Arabidopsis thaliana: one gene and its partners. The protein of the gene in region 1 interacts with the protein of each later gene in a pairwise test. Each region holds a gene or a part of one and is shown on either strand. Other genes may lie near its edges.

Evidence for each region. Proteins that work in one complex are often made in the same cells at the same time.
Region 2: the proteins of NDPK1 (region 1) and CAT2 interact in a two-hybrid assay, tested with the Arabidopsis thaliana proteins (one study listed by BioGRID).
Region 3: the proteins of NDPK1 (region 1) and CAT1 interact in a two-hybrid assay, tested with the Arabidopsis thaliana proteins (one study listed by BioGRID).

The regions. Positions count from the first base shown.
Region 1 is NC_003075.7:5,921,730-5,925,269, reverse strand, and holds NDPK1 (nucleoside diphosphate kinase), read right to left. Parts: upstream 1,787-3,540; coding exon 1,736-1,786; intron 1,616-1,735; coding exon 1,567-1,615; intron 1,254-1,566; coding exon 904-1,253; downstream 1-903. Other genes in the region: AT4G09340 (SPla/RYanodine receptor (SPRY) domain-containing protein), read left to right, coding at 1-255. UniProt on the Arabidopsis thaliana protein: Major role in the synthesis of nucleoside triphosphates other than ATP. The ATP gamma phosphate is transferred to the NDP beta phosphate via a ping-pong mechanism, using a phosphorylated active-site intermediate.
Region 2 is NC_003075.7:16,699,348-16,705,317, reverse strand, and holds CAT2 (catalase 2), read left to right. Parts: upstream 1-1,813; 5' UTR 1,814-2,102; coding exon 2,103-2,117; exon of another isoform or gene 2,118-2,362; coding exon of another isoform or gene 2,363-2,377; coding exon 2,378-2,474; intron 2,475-2,550; coding exon 2,551-2,828; intron 2,829-2,906; coding exon 2,907-3,683; intron 3,684-3,765; coding exon 3,766-3,855; intron 3,856-3,956; coding exon 3,957-4,024; intron 4,025-4,113; coding exon 4,114-4,207; coding exon of another isoform or gene 4,208-4,213; exon of another isoform or gene 4,214-4,321; coding exon 4,322-4,381; 3' UTR 4,382-5,006; downstream 5,007-5,970. Other genes in the region: AT4G35080 (high-affinity nickel-transport family protein), read right to left, coding at 5,306-5,970. UniProt on the Arabidopsis thaliana protein: Catalyzes the degradation of hydrogen peroxide (H(2)O(2)) generated by peroxisomal oxidases to water and oxygen, thereby protecting cells from the toxic effects of hydrogen peroxide.
Region 3 is NC_003070.9:7,144,787-7,151,144, forward strand, and holds CAT1 (catalase 1), read left to right. Parts: upstream 1-1,849; 5' UTR 1,850-2,025; coding exon 2,026-2,040; intron 2,041-2,626; coding exon 2,627-2,723; intron 2,724-2,996; coding exon 2,997-3,274; intron 3,275-3,452; coding exon 3,453-4,229; intron 4,230-4,319; coding exon 4,320-4,409; intron 4,410-4,499; coding exon 4,500-4,567; intron 4,568-4,669; coding exon 4,670-4,823; 3' UTR 4,824-5,394; downstream 5,395-6,358. Other genes in the region: CAT3 (catalase 3), read left to right, coding at 43-819, 905-994, 1,094-1,255, 1,348-1,407. UniProt on the Arabidopsis thaliana protein: Occurs in almost all aerobically respiring organisms and serves to protect cells from the toxic effects of hydrogen peroxide.

The sequences.
Region 1 (3,540 bases):
CCCGAAGAATCGAATGTAGGGTATTTCCTAGAAGAGACTCAAAGGGAAGTAGTGGCAGACACAGTGAATGCTGCGATTTTATCTACAAAACCAAAGGGCAAAAATCAATCGCATTCTCATCTAGAGACACTTCTCCGACAACTAACAGCTTGCTGTCTGGAACTGCGGTCGCTTAACGATGGTCAAGGAGAAGCGTTCTCGCTTAACCGACTTCTTAGAACCAACAATTGGAAGAGGACAAAAAAGACTACTTAGCTGTGTCCATCTTTGGAAACAAACTTGGCTTTGATTGTTGACAGTGGCTGGGTTTGAACTGTTACAGGCAGCTACAATAAGCGGTCAAAATAGATGATTGAAACAGACGGGTTGGAGTTGAACCTGACCGTTGGATTCTTTTCTTCTCTAAAGTTTGAAGAACCAAAATTGTAAAATTTAGTTATTTAAATTTAGCTTGCCAATGTTCATCAGTAAGCTTGAAATTCAGTAGACAAATACTCAAAACTTTTCTTATCACTCTCTCCTAGTATGCCCCCTTCAAGTTGGTGTCAGCCTCAAACTTGGACAATGGCTTACTAGACAACTTAAGCTTGCCACTTTGTCGAACGTCGCAGTTTTCGAGAGCATCTAAGAGATTGACAACATTATGTGTTCATGAAACACAAGGTTACAAGAAGTATGATCTTGTGTTTACTAAATAGGTTTGATCTAACCATTGGTAAGAGTCAATTTTGGTTCAGTATCTGCAATAACTGATATATTTTATATCACCAGTTGGTAGCTGTTGTATTCATATGTAGCAAGCAAGCAAAGTAGAGAAGGATAATCAAACTCAACTTAAATATAGAAGTCTTGTTCAAAAGACAAGCAATGTCGAAAACACACTACTGAAAAAGCAACAGATCATCAAGTTTCATAGACCCAAGGGTGAACGCTGCTCTGCCAGTTGACAGGTCCATCAGGGAACCACAAAGCAATCTCCTTTCTTGCACTCTCGACAGAGTCACTACCATGGATCACGTTCCTGCCAATGTCAATAGCAAAGTCCCCACGGATAGTTCCAGGCTCAGAAGCTGCTGGGTTGGTAGCTCCAATGATCTTTCTTCCGGTCAAGACAACATTCTTTCCTTCCCAGATCATAGCAACAACAGGGCCGGATACAATGTAGTCAACGAGTCCACTGAAGAAAGACTTTGAAGATAAGTCTTCGTAGTGCTTCTCAGCAAAAGATCTCTCTACACTGATCAACTTCAGACCTGTATAAAATACAAATCTACACTGATCAGAAACACAAGACTAACACTCTTATCTACCAAATTACATAATACAAAAGGTCCAGATAATAACAAGTTCTTATGCACAGATACTATAATCTAAAATCTATTAGACAACACAGAATACTTGTCAAGTCAAACAAGTTTTACTAAACTATTAGTGTTCAGAAACTAGACCAAACCATAAGCAACTATAGTGTCATTACAATCTCAATTCAAGTAACAAAGTGACTTTAATTAGATCTAAGACCTCTAATTATAATGTAAAATCAAGTTTGGTAATCGAAATCATTACCTTTCAAAGTGAAACCCTTCTTCTCAAACCTGCAGATGACTTCACCGATCTGAAAGAAAAAAACACAAACATATCGATCTTTTAAGTATAAACAATCCAAAGAACTGAATACAAAACCAAAATCAGATCAAGATCAACAAGTATGTATTAAGAGAAAAGGGAAGCTTACGAGTCCTCTCTGGACGCCGTCAGGCTTGATCATAATAAAAGTTTGCTCCATTGTTTTCTTATTACTTGTGATTCGTAGGAGGCAAAAAAGATTTATATAGAGTCCGCACATGTAACCCTAATTCTGTTGAAGAATATTCTAACCCTAGAATATTTGCTACAAATTATTGGGCTTCCCTTATTATTATGTTAGGCCCAATTAAATAAAATATTGGGCTTCATAAAAAAAACACAAATAATATTTTTTTGCAACTTAATTATTTATGTCAAACAAACGTAGATTAATACTGTGATATTAAAAGTCGTTCGCAATATAACTCTTGCACGTGTATAGATTTTGCAAATCATATAAATCTGTACATGATTATTAAAATTACGTCGTTTTGAGCCTTCTTTTAACAAAAAAAACGGCTTTTACTTATTATTATTTTAAGGTTCAATTAGTTATAAAAATTGGATTTTGTGCCAAAAAATTCTCTAAGTAATTTTTTTTGTAACTCAATCATGTAAGTTAAATAAATGCAGGTCTGCGATCTCAAAAGTCACCTATAGTATATCTCTTAGACGTGTATAGATTTTGCAAACCGTATGTTTATATATAGGTTATTAAAACTACGTTGTTTTGAGCCTTTAAACAAAAACGCAAAATAATGTTGGAAAATAGATTTGAACGCATGGCATATTGAACTATTCAAAGATTACTTAACCAATTGAGCAGAGTGATTTTGTTAACTTTACAAACCGATTAATATATATAGTTTAAACATGAATCGAATACAACAATAACATTATTTCAGAATTGTAAACATAAAACTTGACAAACAGCGCGAGCGGTTACGATCGGATCAAACCCAAGTCTGAACACGCTCAATTCTTCCACCCACGCCTCGTCTCAGAGCTTTCCTCGATGAAGAATAGATTAATTGCGATGAGAATGAGCCCTTGCTTGCTCTACAAATTGTTGATGATGGCCAAAGATAATGAAATCAGTGGTGATAAACAAACTAGTTCACGTGAATAGAGATTTCGGATTGCTAATAAACCTAATTTCCTAAGAAGATGAAGAAACCCAGAATGCAATGTTCACAATATATATTTATCGGTATGCAATATCAACAATAAATCTTGCAGCACAATTGGTTAAGTGCATTATTTAGTATTATAGGTTATTGGTTCCAATCCACTCTAGTAATGTATTATTTTCCGAAAAGATGCTCAAACGACGTAGTTTAATAACTTATATACATACTTATACGGTTTGCAAAATCTAAGCACGCCCAAAGATTATATAAAATCTATGCACGTGGTTATACTGTGGGTGACTTTTGATATCAGAGTATTGACCTACATGTATTTAATATGAAAGGTTATGTTGCAAAAAAAAATATTTTTGAGGGTTGTTGGCACAAAACCCTAATATATTTGTTAGATTTGGATTAAAAGAGTTTGATCACACCACTTTGATGCATTCTCTCATGTTGAAGATATACACAACACATTTTCTAAACAAAAATTGTAGTTTTAAGGATTTTATTTTTTATAATATATATATCAAGTATATGAATTGATATAGAAACTATATATAAGTACATAAATTATTCGATGTAGCCAATTACTTCAAAAATTGATAAAATGATCTCAAACACATTTTTTAATAGAGCAAAGTTCTCTTTCTCCATCTCTTGCTACTCAATCATTTTGTTGTATCTACTTTATCATCTATTCGCATAAATTTGTACATAACCACTTGTTCTTAAAGATTATTTCTCATCACATTCGAAAACACTGTCGCTAACACATCTTGCC
Region 2 (5,970 bases), about 11 Mb from region 1:
ATTTTTGAACTTTTCAGTTCAGAAAATAGTACATACAATAACTTTGAAAAGATTCAATATTAATGCTGTCTTAGATTAGCACTTTTTAAAAGTATGTATAAAACAAGTAATCGATCATCCTTAAGTTTGGTGTTCCCTAATATTCATATTTTAGCTGGTTGCAAACACCAGCTATATTCGTTTATGGATTTTGGTCTAATTATTATTAAAAAAACAAAAATTAACCATAAGGTGAGTTTGTTTTGTGTATCCTTCTTATTTTTAACCAAGAAGGAACTTACATCAAGATTAGTTGAAATTTTCAAAAAGACGACACGTGCTGAGAAAAATATGTTCTTGATCCTTGACATTGGAAATGGAAGTAGTAGCTAGCTACTTAATCGTTGTATATCTTTAAGAGTTGGGCTAGACCAGATAATTCAGCCCATTTTGATGTATTAGCGACAATTCTTTTGATAGCATTTTTGGGCTAAGTCTATTCGTAATGGGTTTCAATCATCTCATTGTTTCTTCAGCACATTTTTGAGCCTGCTTATTTTTTTTCAGAACGTATGGAACAAGATCACATGTTTAATTATGTATGGTCGACATGTTTCAATCCGTTGGCTTTAAGGTCTTAATAACGTACGATACATTAGTTTTGTTTTGTTGCATGTAACCTGTGTGGTTGTACTTGTACGTTCACTACTTGTTGGTTTCTTTATAACCAATAGAATTCGGCAATTCAGTACCATGTATATGTTTTTCTTAACCGACCATATATTCCATAATTCACATGCCATCTCTTAAAAGAAATACAAGCACTCATAGCCATAGGTGGTGGATGAAGAAATATGTGTGTTAAAAATTTCTTCTATTGTCCAAAATCAACAGCTTGATCAGATGAACTTCTGAGCGAGCCAGAGGGTTCCAAGGTGGGCCATTGGGAACTTGATAAATCTCATCTCGTCACATCTCCCAAGGGGCAAAACAAAAACTTAAGAAATAATCAATTCAAAAGGCATATTCTTCCCGCTTGGGGCGTTCACACTATCTCATCACACGTGGAATCCAACAAAGCAGCCACGTCACCCAAGACCATACTAAACCACTTAAAAAGGTTTTGCTAAAAGGCCAAAAAAACCGGATAAGGAACCACAGCCCAATGACGTCCTCATTTATTTTATTTTCATTGAATTGCCTAATATTTATTTCTTTTGTCGTCCTTCTTCCTTGCTTTTGTTACCATATAAAAAAAACTTTTTTTTTAAGTACAGAATATATATATGACAATATCGCAATCGTGGGTTCAGCTTATCTTAAGTTCTCGGGAACCTAAATTCGGATCGCATTGACGATGTTGATCTATCAAACCACAGCCAGTTAGTTTATAAGGTTCAAAATTAATCGTTTATCAAAAACTACATGTAAGTTGGCTTTGTTCAACGAATTTTTAGAAAAACGTAAAACGATATAATTTGGCAGGACCAAATAAAAACCAATGCCATGGATTTCATCTTCTATTACATCATAGAATAGATTCAATTCTGTAAGGGTTGACTTTGTTTTAATCATTATTCTACATTCTCTAATAATAATAGATTTTGTTAAACTTGTTAATGTGATGTAAATCAAAAGTACAGTTATTTGCTATGAGTGTCTGAGATTAAAAGATAGTCGCACTAATTCATTTAGATTAGTTTATAATCCAATTAACAAAATAAAAATGAGCGAATAAAACAAATTAAAACTACTTTTTCTGAATTTGAATAAATAGTAGGTAACCGGTGGTTGGATTAAGAAAAATATATATGAAACAATTCGTGGTACTGTGATCATAAATAATACTTGACGTTCCTGAATTTCTCGCCACAATATATAACATTTGTTTTTTTCTTTCCAGTATTTATCACATGAAAAAACTAAAATAAAGAAAAAACGATAACCTTTAAAAATTCCCCCCTCAAAATAAAGAAAAAAATAAAAAGCTAAAAAGGCAGTAATACACACGCCATTTATAAATAAGGCAAGTGAATATAAAATAGTGCCTCATCATCATCAGTACCATCTCCTCGTTTTGATAAAAATCTCTGAATCTCTCCAAGCTCTCTTCTCATCAAACCATGGATCCTTACAAGGTAAACCCTTCTTTCTTTTCTCTCTAACCTTTTCGTCTTTTGTAATTTCTCCGTATAAACTGGATTGAAACGTTGTTATTAGCTTATGGAATTGCACCCAAAGTTTTGACCTTTTTTTCTACTCGAATCTGCAAATATACAATTAAGTCTTTCCATTGCTCTAAGATCATGTGCCTTTTGACTTGTGATTCTTTCGAATCATTGTGGTTTTTCTCTGATGTTAATTTTAATTTCCTTTGCAATTGATGATGATGATGCAGTATCGTCCAGCTAGTTCTTACAACTCTCCCTTCTTCACCACCAACTCTGGTGCTCCTGTATGGAACAACAACTCCTCCATGACCGTTGGACCCAGAGGTACCTCTTCTTCTCCCATGAATAAGTCTGTTCTCCTCAATGTTATTGTTGCATTTCTGATTGTTTTTTTGGGCAGGTCCTATCCTTCTTGAGGATTACCATCTCGTTGAGAAGCTTGCCAATTTCGACAGGGAACGGATTCCAGAGCGTGTGGTTCATGCCAGAGGAGCCAGTGCTAAAGGTTTCTTTGAGGTCACTCATGATATCTCTAACCTCACTTGTGCTGACTTTCTCCGAGCTCCCGGTGTTCAGACTCCTGTCATTGTCCGGTTCTCCACCGTTATCCATGAGCGTGGAAGTCCCGAGACCTTGAGAGACCCTCGTGGTTTTGCAGTCAAGTTCTACACCAGAGAGGTCAGTTAGTAGTTTGTAACATTTAAGAATGCTAGCAATTACTTATATACTAAGCAAATGATCATTCTTTGTATGCAGGGGAACTTTGATCTTGTTGGAAACAACTTTCCTGTTTTCTTCATCCGCGATGGGATGAAGTTCCCTGACATGGTCCACGCTCTTAAGCCGAACCCAAAATCTCACATCCAAGAGAACTGGAGAATCCTTGACTTCTTCTCCCACCACCCTGAAAGTTTGAACATGTTCACTTTCCTCTTCGATGATATCGGTATCCCACAAGATTACAGGCACATGGATGGTTCAGGTGTCAATACATACATGTTGATCAACAAAGCTGGCAAAGCTCACTACGTGAAGTTCCATTGGAAACCAACTTGTGGAGTCAAGTCTCTTTTGGAAGAAGATGCAATTCGTGTTGGAGGAACCAACCACAGTCATGCGACTCAAGACTTGTATGACTCTATAGCTGCTGGAAACTACCCTGAATGGAAGCTCTTTATCCAAATCATTGATCCTGCTGATGAAGACAAGTTCGACTTTGACCCGCTCGATGTGACCAAGACCTGGCCTGAGGATATCTTGCCTCTTCAACCTGTTGGACGTATGGTGTTGAACAAGAACATTGACAACTTCTTTGCAGAGAATGAGCAACTTGCTTTCTGTCCTGCAATTATTGTCCCAGGGATACATTACTCAGATGATAAGCTGCTTCAAACCCGTGTCTTCTCCTATGCCGATACTCAGAGACACCGTCTTGGACCAAACTACCTTCAGCTGCCAGTCAATGCTCCAAAATGTGCTCACCACAACAACCACCATGAGGGATTCATGAATTTCATGCACAGGGACGAGGAGGTACTTAATAGTACACTATCAATATCTTTATATCGAACTTGAAGCTAGAATACCATAGTCTTACAAGAAGCTGTTGTTACAGGTTAACTACTTCCCGTCGAGGTATGACCAGGTTCGTCATGCTGAGAAGTATCCAACTCCGCCTGCTGTCTGTTCTGGAAAACGTGAGAGGGTCAGTAATCAACTCTGTTTTCCTCTCTGTTTCTGTTTCCCATGGATTGGTTCACTTAAGAACATATGATCTAAAAGTTTCGAAATCTGTTTTTTTTTCAGTGCATTATTGAGAAAGAGAACAACTTCAAGGAGCCTGGAGAGAGATACCGTACCTTTACACCAGAGAGGTACTAATTGTTTTATTTTTGTAATGATGCTTAATGCATAAAAGGAACATCTGTGTTCTTAACGTTTTACGGTATGTTTTCAACTTCAGGCAAGAACGATTCATCCAGAGATGGATTGATGCCCTATCCGACCCACGCATCACGCATGAAATCCGCAGTATCTGGATCTCTTACTGGTCTCAGGTCTGAAATCTTGATCTCTGTTACTGTCATTGTCTCGTTCTTCAAGTCTCAGCAGTTGAAAAGTTGTCAAGTTTTAAACATTTTTGACTGATTGGTTAAAAATGTGTGAAACAGGCTGATAAGTCTTTGGGACAGAAGCTGGCAAGCCGTCTGAACGTGAGACCAAGCATCTAAAACGAGTGAAAGAATTCTTGATTGGCCTTTCTGTGGTTGTTAATTAGCAGAGAAAAGAAAATGGGAAGAGATCAAAGTTGCGATAATACAATCTTCATCATGTGGATCTTCTGTGCTATGTTATAATAGTATCTGTTTAAAGACCAAAAGAACCTTGTGTGTTGTTGTGTCTCTCGTTTATCAGAATAATACATTATACATTGAAGATTTATAATCCGTGGTGTTACTTGATGAAAGCTCCTTCTTCCTTGAAAGATTGTGACATATTCTTATATATTTCTCATATATTAACGAATGTAATCCCGTAAGAGCTGTCGACAAAGACGTGATTTTTAGTCTGCATGTTCTGGACGAAAGGGAATAGCAAAGTATGAAACGAAAAAGACAAGAAAATCCATAAATTCTTATGTGTGGGTATTAGGGAATTTACAATAGTTGTCAATATGTGTTGTAACAGTGGCCACATTTGTGTATAACGTCGTTGTATCAAGTGTGGGGTGTCGAGAGTCTTTAGATTTGGTGTGAATAATCTGACAATTTGGATTTGAACTCTGCTTTGACATCCTGACATTAGAAAATAAACTTGGTTTTGACATTTTGGGGTTTGTATTTGTGACAAGTACTGTTCAAATGATATAAACAAGAATGACTTTTTAGTTAAAATTTGATAATATTACAAAGTATGGTTACATGCAGTTGATCGATAATTCAGAACCAAAACCAAACTTCTCTTAAAAATAAGGAAAATAAAAAGAATCACCAAATGGTTTTCTCCGAGAGGAGTTTCTGAAGCAAGATTACGAGATTTTGTTCGTACAGGTGACAATAATACGAGTGATATGGACCCAAAAAAACCTCTCTTTCTTCTATAAGAACTACAAAGATTTCAACTTGTCTCATTTACCTGAAGAAGCTTTTACTTTCTCAGTAGAGGCTAAAACCAAAGAAAGGGCTGATGACAATTCCCAATCCAAGACCAATAGCCACAAGTGACGAAACCCAAGTTAGTTTCTCTGTGATCCTTGGAACTTTCTCTTTCAAAGCCTCACTGCAAGACCCAATAAACGCTGTGTAACTTCCCATCGCTATAACTGTCCCAACCAGAAACATTATCAAAAACGCAGACCCTGCTAACCGTGATGGGAGAGCTAATGCAGGCAAAACAATCATCAGAGCATCCGGTTGCAACCCGTGAACCACTCCAGTTGCAAATGTAGCAAACCCGATCTTCTTCTTTTTGGGCAGTGGTAAGGCTTCTTTCTCTGTTGATACCATGCTGATGTCGGTTTCTAAAGCGACACAAGGTTCTGGAATCTCAGAAGCTTCCTTGATTCCCATAGCACCGATAATAACAAGAGTCAATCCCACAATTCTTGTACCCCAAGTTTGTAATACTTCAATGTGAAGCCGGTCTTTAAGTAGCAGAAACAGTAAACCAAAGATGACTTGACCAGCATCATGCCCACATCCCCAGAGAGCTCCAACAGCAGCACTTTCCATTTTGCTGCGTCCGATCGAAAGCGGAGCTAAAGCAGCGAGGTGATCAGGTCCTGAGAGCGTGTGCAAGCAACCAGCAAGGAAACCGGTCC
Region 3 (6,358 bases), on another chromosome or scaffold:
TAGAATCAGGACTGATTTTTGTCTTGTTACTGTTATGATCAGGGAAACTTTGATCTTGTTGGGAACAACACTCCGGTGTTCTTCATCCGTGATGGGATTCAGTTCCCGGATGTTGTCCACGCGTTGAAACCTAACCCGAAAACAAACATCCAAGAGTACTGGAGGATTCTGGACTACATGTCCCACTTGCCTGAGAGTTTGCTCACATGGTGCTGGATGTTTGATGATGTTGGTATTCCACAAGATTACAGGCACATGGAGGGTTTCGGTGTCCACACCTACACTCTTATTGCCAAATCTGGAAAAGTTCTCTTTGTGAAGTTCCACTGGAAACCAACTTGTGGGATCAAGAATCTGACTGATGAAGAGGCCAAGGTTGTTGGAGGAGCCAATCACAGCCACGCCACTAAGGATCTCCACGATGCCATTGCATCTGGCAACTACCCCGAGTGGAAACTTTTCATCCAGACCATGGATCCTGCAGATGAGGATAAGTTTGACTTTGACCCACTTGATGTGACCAAGATCTGGCCTGAGGATATTTTGCCTCTGCAACCGGTTGGTCGCTTGGTTCTGAACAGGACCATTGACAATTTCTTCAATGAAACTGAGCAGCTTGCGTTCAACCCGGGTCTTGTGGTTCCTGGAATCTACTACTCAGACGACAAGCTGCTCCAGTGTAGGATCTTTGCTTATGGTGACACTCAGAGACATCGCCTTGGACCGAATTATTTGCAGCTTCCAGTCAATGCTCCCAAATGTGCTCACCACAACAATCACCATGAAGGTTTTATGAACTTCATGCACAGAGATGAGGAGGTACGTCTTAGTACACCACTTGAGCTACCATTGTTAGTCTTTTTACTTGGAATCAAAATTCTCATTTGGTTTGTACTTTTTACAGATCAATTACTACCCCTCAAAGTTTGATCCTGTCCGCTGCGCTGAGAAAGTTCCCACCCCTACAAACTCCTACACTGGAATTCGAACAAAGGTCCGATTCCTGCCATGCCTTCTCTAAATCTTCAAATCCTAAACTCAAGTTTATTAGAATATTGGTGCTAAGAAAACCTTTTAATTGCTAATGTTGCAGTGCGTCATCAAGAAAGAGAACAACTTCAAACAGGCTGGAGACAGGTACAGATCATGGGCACCAGACAGGCAAGACAGGTTTGTTAAGAGATGGGTGGAGATTCTATCGGAGCCACGTCTCACCCACGAGATCCGCGGCATCTGGATCTCTTACTGGTCTCAGGTCAGAACAAAAAAACACTCGGTCAAATTTCTACGTCCTTTTTACCAAGTTTCAGCAAACTAAAACATTATTTATCTCTCTGTATCTCTCAGGCTGATCGATCCTTGGGACAGAAACTTGCAAGCCGTCTGAACGTGAGGCCAAGCATCTAGAGGCCAATCTCCATATAAGCTCAGTCTATGTGAGGTACAATCAATCTCATCGATCTATCATCGCTTGGTCGTTAAATCCGTCAAAAAGATAATCACATGTGTTGTTGTTTCTTGTCTATATAATAATAATGCTTGTAATCCCAAAAACTCATGTTTCCTTCCTTTCTACTCTCACTGTCTTTGTAATCTCTTTTTACAATAAATCAATGTTTCTTGAAGCAGTAAACAATTTCTAAGATTTATGGTGGTCGTTATACATATTATTAATTCAGGAAAAAAAAGAGAAGATACCGTAATTGAACATGTATTATTTTAAGGAGAATCCTGAAATGGATCAACAATTGTCTAATTATGGTATAGTATCTGGCGAAATCAAAGACGATATCATCCACACGTAATTAGTTTGACTATTAATACGAGGATTATCATTTGGATAAGGATTAACAAAGACAAAACACATACGTGTTTTGGTGTTGAGCTAAAATAAGATATTTTGGCTCTCGCTATAAAAAAAAAATCGACAACAGTGCAGACACACGCCGATTTGCGAGATACACACAGTCTCACCTAAAAATCGCAAAAGAAGAAAAATTCGGATCAAAATTGTCTTCAAGCATCATGGATCCATACAGGGTACATCGATTGATTCTCTTTTTTTGTAATCTGTGATTTTACCTTACTTGATTTCGTATCGATTTGGTGTGATTTCGTGTTGAATCCAAAGTGTATGAATGATCTCTCTCTCTCGGTTAAAATGATGCAAAATTGGGGTGATTGTTCGACTTGTTGAGGTTTTTTTGTGTGAATCGATTTCTTTATTATATAGTGGAGATTGGGTTTCGATTTGCATGCGTTGAAGATTCCACTGGAAAATTCAACATGTTTTTCCGTCTATTGATTGTTTATTTGTCAACATGCTCATGCTCATGCTCATGTTCTAATACACAAGTCTTAAGGCTGACGTGATCTGTCAATATCGTTGTACATGTTTTAAGGTTTCTTTACGATTTTTTTAAAGTTATTTTAATCACTGTGTTCAATTGTGAATATCATTGTTGCTTGTATCGTATTTTTTTAATTGATCATATATACTTATGTGGAATTGTTATGTATCAAGTATCAATGTATCATTATTTGTCATAGACGTTTCTCCAATCTATGGAAATTTGGTTAATTTTTTTGTGATCCAGTTCTTCTGAATTTATTTGTTGGTGTGCAGGTTCGTCCTTCAAGCGCTCATGATTCCCCTTTCTTCACTACAAACTCGGGTGCTCCTGTCTGGAACAACAACTCTTCTTTGACTGTCGGAACTCGAGGTCCGTTTCTCTTTCTTATCTCTTGAATACAAATTATAACAAATATGTTGAACCAGTGGTTGTTAGAAATGCCCTTAAAGCTAGAGTAGTGGAAGCCAAATAATTTTATAAACGTTTGGATAATAATGTCATTAGTGTTTTTGTTGTGGACTTGCGTAAATCACATTTCTTCCTTCAGTTTTATGCCAAATCTGATATAATTCCTCAATGTTGATTCTGTCTCAGTTGCTTGGATTTTTAGATATGTTAAGCGATGGTTTTATATATTGTCAGGTCCAATCCTTCTGGAGGACTATCATCTGCTTGAGAAACTCGCTAACTTTGACAGGGAGCGGATTCCTGAGAGGGTTGTTCATGCCAGGGGAGCCAGTGCTAAGGGTTTCTTTGAAGTCACTCATGACATTACCCAACTTACTTCTGCTGATTTTCTTCGAGGACCTGGTGTTCAGACTCCTGTTATCGTTCGTTTCTCAACTGTCATCCATGAGCGTGGCAGTCCCGAGACTCTCAGAGATCCCCGTGGTTTTGCTGTTAAGTTTTACACCAGAGAGGTTAGCTTTTTGTCTTATCCTTCCATTGTCTCTCTATTTTCTATAACCGATATCGATGTGTTTGCTGATATTCAAACGTTTATTTGCTTATCTATTTCGTTTCACCACCTATATGATTACTTGCAAATCATATCATACTATACTGATGATTCCTCTTACCCTCTGTTTGCAAACTCAGGGGAACTTTGATCTTGTTGGGAACAACTTCCCTGTATTCTTCGTCCGTGATGGAATGAAATTCCCTGACATGGTCCATGCATTGAAACCGAATCCCAAGTCTCACATTCAGGAGAACTGGAGGATACTGGACTTCTTCTCCCACCACCCAGAGAGTTTGCACATGTTTTCATTTCTCTTTGATGATCTCGGTATCCCACAGGACTACAGGCACATGGAAGGCGCTGGGGTCAACACTTACATGCTAATCAACAAAGCTGGAAAAGCTCACTATGTGAAATTCCACTGGAAGCCGACTTGTGGGATCAAATGCCTGTCGGATGAGGAAGCTATCAGAGTTGGAGGAGCCAATCACAGCCATGCCACCAAAGATCTCTATGACTCGATCGCAGCCGGGAACTATCCGCAGTGGAATCTCTTCGTTCAGGTGATGGATCCTGCCCATGAAGACAAATTTGACTTCGATCCGCTTGATGTCACAAAGATCTGGCCTGAAGATATCTTGCCTTTACAACCTGTTGGTCGCTTGGTCTTGAACAAAAACATCGACAACTTCTTTAATGAGAACGAACAGATTGCATTCTGTCCTGCTCTTGTGGTTCCAGGCATCCACTATTCAGATGATAAGCTACTCCAGACCCGGATCTTCTCCTACGCTGATAGTCAGAGACACCGTCTTGGACCAAACTATCTGCAACTACCTGTTAATGCCCCTAAATGTGCTCACCACAACAATCACCATGATGGTTTTATGAACTTCATGCACAGGGATGAGGAGGTAATCTTATCTCTCGGCTCTAGAAACTCCCAGATACTTAAATTCGCAATCACATTTATATGAAGTGAATTTGTTGCTTTCCAATTCCAGGTCAATTACTTCCCTTCAAGGTTGGATCCAGTTCGCCATGCCGAAAAATACCCTACAACTCCTATTGTCTGCTCTGGAAATCGTGAGAAGGTCAGAGTCCTCTACATACATTAATTTTTGATCACAAGTTTTATCCTCATAAGTCATAGTTAAAACTCAAATGTCATCTTTATATCACAGTGCTTCATCGGGAAGGAGAACAACTTCAAGCAACCAGGGGAGAGATACCGGTCCTGGGATTCAGACAGGTAAACACTAAAAACTCAAAAACCACATTGCAAAATCAACAATTACACATGAACCACAAATGTCATAATTCATTCTAATGGTCTTTTGTTTTGTACCAATAGGCAAGAACGATTCGTGAAGCGTTTTGTTGAAGCGCTTTCGGAGCCTCGTGTCACGCACGAAATCCGCAGCATTTGGATCTCTTACTGGTCTCAGGCAGACAAATCTCTGGGACAGAAACTAGCAACTCGTCTTAACGTGAGGCCAAACTTCTGAATGATATCATCTCTAAAGACTAAGTGAAATCCTATAAACTCAATATGCTCCTCTTACGGTTTGGTTTCTAAGTAATCTCGTTTATTGACAATGAAACGCTTAAAGAAGGGTACTAGTTCCTGTTTGTAATCTTCTTTTCAAAATATTAACGATTATTTTCTAAGGCAAATAAATAAAAAGCTATGACTAATATAGCTTAGTAAACAAGTATCACTATCATCCATTTGGTTCTACTTTAAAAATGGATTTTTATTTGTATTTTAATCTTCTGCATCTATGACGTGAGCTTATAGTTGGAATTTTATTGGGGTCTAATGTCAGACGCACGATCTTGATAAAAAAGTTTTATGTCTGTCCATATTTTGATAAATTGGCATAGTCATCACTCATCACGTCAGACCTTTTAATTGGTCAATCGTTATGATGCTACATCGCATTCATAATTTATAATTTACATGTAAGTGGGGGTGGAGTATTTGATTATTCCGCTGCTAGTGGAAATGCAAAAAGAATAATGAGAGCAGACCAATTTTAATTATGCTTATACTTTGTTGCGCTTAACTTTTAATCAGCTAATACAGTCTGATTAATCTGATGTCTCTCAGCCAGTAGTTTCTTTTCTTAAAGAGAACCTCAGCGCAAATCAGAAATTAGACACATGGAGCCACATCAAACTTAATCACCAATAATATCCTTTTCTCATGTATTTTTCAGTCTCATATTTTTTTTTACAACTTGTTAAGTGGTAGTGTGCGAAGATTTTAGATCGAAGTTACGCATCTTAAGAGATTATTTATCCAATGAAATGGTATAGTGAACTGTGTTTGCTAATGGTCCAGGATTTTATACATTTAAAATTCATAACTTTGCAGTTTAACGAAAAACAATAACAAATTTAACGTGTTTTGGTTGTCGTTAACAAGATCTCGGATCCATTTAGGAAAAGTCAATATCTTGATGACGAAATCAAGAAGACTTTACTTTGATTGCATGTGACGGAACTTAAGCACTATACTAAACGATAAAATGTAATTATGTAAATATCTAAGTTTTGAGGTGTATAATGCAAGAGTATAATTTCGTGGACCTACGTCTAGGTCTACCAACAAATGTACTCAACATAAATAATATCGTCTCCGTACCCCAAAAATAAGGTATATAGGTTTTATACCTAACCAAGACGTGCAAAAATTATCACAATTATTTGACGTGGAAGTTAATGATTCGGCCAACCTTATACTAATTTTGTTTTGCAATTAAGGACTCATTTTTTGTGTATTATATTAAGGGATCTCTATTATCAATGTCCAACTATTAATCATTTTTTATACGTTTCAAAGCCCTATGAAAAGAGATTCTATTTGCCCGGATCATAATTTAAAATTGTGTAATCAGAATCTTCTTTTGTATTTGCAAAGTTTAAAAATTCATTGGTTACTCAAAAAAGTTTGTTTTCCTTGCAGTTCTATTGGTTTCTTTCTGATTATTGGAGTGTTTTTAGTTATATTTTATTTGTTTGTGAAACTGATTATTGG